Xenopus tropicalis: one gene and its partner. Each later gene encodes a partner of the first gene's protein in a complex. Links are inferred from orthologs where the notes say so. Each region holds a gene or a part of one and is shown in the gene's direction. Other genes may lie near its edges.

Region 1 (4,449 bases):
GAGGCCCAAACAGCCGCCCAGCAGCCCAATAAATAGTGAGTGTCTATGGCACCTTACAGCAGCCCCTCTGGCATTTGCCAGAACCCACAGATTGCCAGTCCAGGCCTGATTTTCAGTACACAGAGGCCCAAACAGCCCCCATAGGCCCAATAAATAGTGAGTGTCTATGGCACCTTACAGCAGCCCCTCTGGCATTTGCCTGAACCCACAGATTGCCAGTCCGGGCCTGATTTTCAGTATACAGAGGCCCAAACAGCCCCCCATAGGCCCAATAAATAGTGAGTGTCTATGGCACCTTACAGCAGCCCCTCTGGCATTTGCCTGAACCCACAGATTGCCAGTCCGGGCCTGATTTTCAGTACACAGAGGCCCAAACAGCCCCCCCCCCCCATAGGCCCAATAAATAGTGACTGACTATGGCATCTTACAGCAGCCCTCTGGCATTTGCCTGAACCCACAGATTGCCAGTCTGGGCCTGATTTTCAGTATACAGAGGCCCAAACAGCCCCCCCCCCATAGGCCCAATAAATAGTGAGTGACTATGGCATCTTACAGCAGCCCCTCTGGCATTTGCCTGAACCCACAGATAGGGATAGAACAAGGCAACCTTCCTACCCACCTGATGGAATGGATAACCCAATAGGCACATAAATCATCCAAGGGACTCTGTTGTTATATTGCACTGTGCACTTTTATGTACATGATGGGTTACAGTTACATTCATATACAGACAGTAATGGGTGTAACAATATTGGGTCACACTTCCCCTTTAAAGGAACAGTAACACCAAAAAATGAAAGTGTATAAAAGTAACTAAAATATAATGTGCTGCTGCCCTGCACTGGTAAAAGTTGTGTGTTTACTTCAGAAAGTCTACTATAATTTATATAAATAAGCTGCTATGTAGCCACGGGGGCAGCCATTCAAAGGAGAAAAGGCACAGGCACATAGCAGATAACAGATAAAACACTATTGTATTCTACAGAGCTTATCTGTTATCTGCTATGTAACCTGTGCCTTTTCTCCTTTTTTCCAGCTTGAATGGCTGCCCCCATGGCTACACAGCAGCTTATTATATAAATTATAGTAGTGTTACTGTAGCAAACACACCAGTTTTACCAGTGCAGGGCTACAATACATTATATTTTTATTACTTTAAAGCTCTTTCATTTTTTGGTGTTACTGTTCCTTTAACCTTACAAATGGAATGTGAGAGCCAGGTTGAGATAAGGGGTATTGAATCCCAACTCAACCTCACCCTGTACCCAGTTTAAGTCATTTCTGATAGAGGGGAGTGACTTTTACATTAAAATACTTCAATGCGATATAATTTGAGGCATTCCGAGCTCCCCATGAAATTAATGTCAGGGTAAGCAATATGTCAAAGTTTGCCCATTCACTGCCGCTGAACTTCCTCTGTTGCCAGTATGAAATATGGCCGCCGCCAACTAACTTCCCTTTTTTTTCTTGCGCTACGTTCAGGAAGCTGCGCCGGAAGTACCAGGGAGCCGGTGACCGGAAGTTTGCAGTGGAGAGACTTGTGTGTGTTGGTGAGGCAGAGAAAGAGTGTTGTGTAAGCGGCTCATGTGTAGGATATCCCTACGCCTGCTCTCACACTTTCCTTCCGCTGCTGGGACTGGGATATCCCTACGCCTGCCCTCACTTTCCTCCCATCAGGTGCTTCATTCAGCCGGGGCTGTAGCACAGCCACTAACCTGCGCCATTAATCATTATATATAGAAAGTCATTGTGCTGTATGCTTCCCTTCCCTACTGAACTCCATTCTATATTGCCTTCCTATCATGCTACTGCCTTAGGGAAGGGTCAGTCAAACAAGGACAAGTCTAACTACAGCTCTCCCATCTCTATATATCTGGGGGGGGGGGGGCTTGAAACTACTCTCACCAACAGAAAACTAACTATATATATATATATATACTATACTAGTAACTATACTATAACCCCATTAGTGAGTATGTACTGTATATAGGGTCACCATTCTGGCTTTGTACTGACTTTACCAGCCCCTCCCCATAGAGGCAGGATAATGCTTATCGCTTCGCTTCATGCAACTGTCTGTGTGTGTGTGTATTGAGACAATTGAATTCTATCTTTTATAGATCCCAAGGGAACCTGCCCTGAGAAGCGATGGCGTCGCTGGTAAGTGGTGTACAAGTACCTGTGTTTGTCTGTATGTATGTATAACTTTATTTATAAAGTGCCACAAGGGTACGCAGCGCTGTACAATCTTACAATATACACAATTACACACAGGGAGGGCAAGTGTTATAATAAATACAATAAATAAATATAAATACATGGGGAGTAAGTGCCATGTGGTATGAGACAGTAGGAAGGAGGTCCCTGCCCCGTAGAGCTTACAATCTAAGTGAGTGTAACACTCTTTCCTTCTTCTCTTCTTCCCATTTGCTTTAGCAATCTGCCAGCTACTTTTTAAAGGAGACATATCCTATAAAAATGATGAATGTAATGTGTATGAAAGTTGTGTTTCAGACTGATTTATTGAGATATTCCCCCAAAACCCCACTAGTCCTGCCCATCTGTTCCACTTTCTGCTGGCTGAATTCTCTGGATGTGCAGGGGAGCCGGCGGCACTCTGTACACTGCTTTGTAATATAGGAACCAATCAGCAGCTAGGCTGACCTGATAGGGAACTGAAGCCTGTCTGTGCTTGTGTGAGTGCAGGGCTGTGACTGGCTACTCCCCTCCTACTGTGCTTCTGGCAGGGACCGTTAGGACACGCCCACCCCTCATTTCAAACACAGACAGAGAAGTGATAGGATCTATAGGGAGCGCCAATAAAGGGGCCATTGTTACAGATAGGATTAATGTTTAGCCCAAAGGGAAACCAGCACCGTATATTATTCATAATTGCCTACAGGATTAGGGTTTTTCCCATTTATCCAATATGTCCCCTTTAAAAGAGAAGAAAGGCTAAATGACTGAGTGATCGCTTACCTGATACCCCAGGCTGGTGCTGCTGTTAGGAGAAAACTGCCCCGGCCCAGGGTATATGTGAGAGAGCGTTCCTCTTCCTCCTTTATTCTGAATCCCGGGGCAGTTGAGTGAAACAGACAGCTTTATTGTTAGTCGGCTCCTCACTCTACTGCGCGTGGGCAAAGACCGAAGCAGGAAGAGAAACACTGGCTCACATACACCCCAGGCTGGGGCAGTTTTCTCCCAATAGAAGCACCGGCTGGGGGTTTCAGGTAAGTGATCACAATCACTGGGGGGGCTAATATTTTGGCTCCCCCCACCCAGTGATTGTAACTTTACTTCTCCTTTAACAGAACAGACATTACTAATGCTTATTCCTTTAACCCCTTGTCTCCCAGCAGACTTCTTCCCCAGCCCCATTCCTTTAACCCCTTGTCCCCCAGCCCTGTGCCAAATTGACCAGCAGACTTCTTCCCCAGCCCCATTCCTTTAACCCCTTGTCCCCCAGCCCTGAGCCAAATTGACCAACAAACTTCTTCCCCAGCCCCATTCCTTTAACCCCTTGTCTCCCAGCCCTGAGCCAAATTGACCAGCAGACATCTTCCCCAGCCCCATTCCTTTAACCCCTTGTCTCCCAGCCCTGTGCCAAATTGACCAGCAGACAATCTTCCCCAGCCCCATTCCTTTAACCCCTTGTCTCCCAGCCCTGTGCCAAATTGACCAGCAGACCCCTTCCCCAGCCCCATTCCTTTAACCCCTTGTCTCCCAGCCCTGTGCCAAATTGACCAGCAGACTTTTTCCCCAGCCCCATTCCTTTAACCCCTTGTCCCCCAGCCCTGTGCCAAATTGACCAGCAGACTTCTTCCCCAGCCCCATTCCTTTAACCCCTTGTCCCCCAGCCTTGTGCCAAAATAACCAGCAGGCTTCTTCCCCAGCCCCATTCCTTTAACCCCTTGTCCCCCAGCCCTGAGCCAAATTGACCAGCAGACTTCTTCCCCAGCCCCATTCCTTTAACCCCTTGTCTCCCAGCCCTGTGCCAAATTGACTAGCAGACTTCTTCCCCAGCCCCATTCCTTTAACCCCTTGTCTCCCAGCCCTGTGCCAAATTGACCAGCAGACGTCTTCCCCAGCCTGTGGCCCTGCTACTCTTATATCTTTCTGCCAGAGCAAATCCAGTAATGGTTGTTTTCTCTTTTATCTCTGTATTTACTGAAATTCTCATTCCCCACAGGGCACCAGTGGCCAGTCTGTTACAGAGTATGTGGTGCGTGTACCCAGGTAAGTAAGCAGTCTGTTACTAGTGGATATCTGGGTGCACTTAGCTGTGTTCTCTTCTCCCAGCCTGGTAACATCAATATGTCTGAGAATACATGCTTAACCTGGGATGTCCCTGTACCCAGATAGTATATCCTTCCCATTTACTGTGTGCAGTGTCCTGATATTTCTCCATAGATATTCAATGCATTCTCTCTTCTCTCTGTTGGTCAGGAA
Region 2 (2,291 bases), on another chromosome or scaffold:
GACTCGGGTAAATGCAGGCGAGCAATTATCTTCCTTCCTTCTCCTTTTGCAGTAATCCTGGGGCCCATGCATGCGTTAAAGTTTGGCTTTTCACTCTACTACGCATGCAAGAAGGATGAAGAGGAACACTCATTCGCTTACACCCTGGGCGGTGCAGTTTTCTGCTAACAGGAGTACTGGCTGGGGGTTTCTGTTAAGCTAACATTTTGACACCCCCCAGTGATGATGGTGATTTTGGTGATACTATAATACTATGATTATAGGTTATGTAGCACCGCAGTGCTTTACAGAAATTGTGCTTCAGTCACATCAGTTCCTGCTCAGTGGAGCTTACAGTCTAATTTTATCAGAAACCAATTAGTCTCCCTGTATATTTTTTGAGTATAGGAAGAAACCAGAATACCCAGAGAAAACCCACGCAAGCATGTGGGGAACATGTGGACTCCTTGTTTGACTGCAATTTAACATAGGATCCCAGAGCAGCAAAGCAACAGTGTACTGGAATATAGTATAGAAAAAGCTTGTTTTGGTTATAACATAACAAAATAAGATTTCTGTATATATAATATAGCAATATCATTCTCTGGCTACACTATAGTATAGTGAAATCATGTGTGCATTGCACCACTTAAAAGGAGAACAAAAACCCACGTTTTATTGATTCAAGTGCTCTGCTGCTGAGCGTTTAAGTACAGAACACTGGAGTGTTAATGGTTTGTAGTGTCATGGCAGTTTGCTCTCCTTTTGACTGCCAAAGAGCTCTATTAAGTGACTGACAATGGTCGTTTAAGTAATCCTGACAGGTCACACTTCATTTTGGCATGGAGCAGAATAGGACTGTGTAGCAGTGAGTAACCTTCTTTTATTTTCTCAATGAAATTAAGAAGTGCCGGTTTCAGAATTCAGCGCAAACTATGGCTTTAGCTTGTCTTTGAAAGTTGATTTCTTTTTGACCACCTATTTGCTATTGTTGCTCCTGTTCTCAGGTTATGTGAATAAGTCCTTTTATAAAACATTTAGAGAGAGCCTCACTTAGTTCCTACCACCCTCACTCAGTTTTTGTCCTCCTTCTTTAATACAGGATGTGTGCCCCTGTCATGGTGGAGCTTGAAGGAGAAACGGACCCCCTACTTATTGCCATGAAGGAACTTAAGTAAGTTTTTCTCATCTGCCAGAGAATATGTAACTGTCTAACCTCCACCTGACAGAGGCCAGTTGGGTATGCTAAACACGGTTTGCATGAATCTTTGTTTGCAATTTTGAAATACTTTTCAATTTTCATAGTATCTAGCTTTGGTTTATGTTCAGGAACTTCCAATATTGAGAAAATTGAGGTATGACTTAAAACCAACACCAAAAACCCATATTATTATGGAAATGGATATATATTTGCAAATTCTAACTGGCCTCTTTCAAGGCCAGTTTGTGACTGCAAATTCTGAGTTACAACTACTGGGATTCTTTGCAAGCTAACATATAATTGAGGATGCTTGTATATTCTAGTGATCTTCTAAAGTTTCTTTCTGTTCCCACAGAGCCAGAAAGATCCCTATAATCATACGACGTTACCTTCCAGACGGCAGTTATGAGGACTGGGGGGTGGATGAACTCATCATTACCGACTAAGACCTGTCGTCAGTCCTTGACTTTCCAAGCCTGAAATCTTTGACACCAGTTTTATTCTCTTTTGTCTTGTTGTACATAATTGTTTTTTATGTAAATGCTTTATTTAATAAAAACACAAAAGACCCTCACACACAGCTATCTGTTTGCTGATAAATATCTGCTGAAGAAAGAGAGAGCAGGCTAAAAGGAAGGGTTACTTTTTGTAGCAGAGACTGCCTTTAGATAGTAACAAAACTGACAGCCTATAGGCCATTTAGTGACTAGAAAACTTGGGCGACAGGATGAATTCTAAGCTCCATGCAAGGAGAATAGCATGCACCTGTTTGCTTCCAAAAATGTTCAAAACCTCCCCCACCATCTACCTGTTTTTTTTTGGTAGAACAGAGGAGCCATTGTATGCCCATGTCTCTGCACTTGTTGCTATGGAAATGCCCATGGAGGGGACACCTTTCTCAGGAGTATCAAAAACCAGGATGAATCCCACTCTTTGTTTGGCCAAATATGCGCTCGGCTGCTTCTACGTTCCTGCCACACCTGGGGAACAAGCTAGCACTGATCCAGGTGCTACATTACTGATGGCCACTGCCGCTAAATATTCCTCACACTGATATTTCAGCTCAACAGCGCAGACCTTTTAATCTGACTTCTAGTACATCCTTCTGACT

Evidence for each region.
Region 2: gtf2f1 (region 1) and polr2f share a complex: the UniProt entries of both Homo sapiens proteins name them as parts of the TBP-based Pol II pre-initiation complex. The link is inferred for Xenopus tropicalis from reciprocal best matches to the Homo sapiens genes GTF2F1 and POLR2F.

What each region holds. Positions count from the first base shown.
Region 1 is NC_030679.2:140,874,306-140,878,754, forward strand, and holds the start of gtf2f1 (general transcription factor IIF subunit 1), read left to right. Parts: upstream 1-1,556; 5' UTR 1,557-2,148; coding exon 2,149-2,160; intron 2,161-4,189; coding exon 4,190-4,236; intron 4,237-4,446; coding exon 4,447-4,449. UniProt on the Homo sapiens protein: TFIIF is a general transcription initiation factor that binds to RNA polymerase II and helps to recruit it to the initiation complex in collaboration with TFIIB. It promotes transcription elongation.
Region 2 is NC_030680.2:122,156,810-122,159,100, forward strand, and holds the end of polr2f (DNA-directed RNA polymerases I, II, and III subunit RPABC2), read left to right. Parts: intron 1-1,081; coding exon 1,082-1,153; intron 1,154-1,535; coding exon 1,536-1,626; 3' UTR 1,627-1,754; downstream 1,755-2,291. UniProt on the Homo sapiens protein: DNA-dependent RNA polymerase catalyzes the transcription of DNA into RNA using the four ribonucleoside triphosphates as substrates.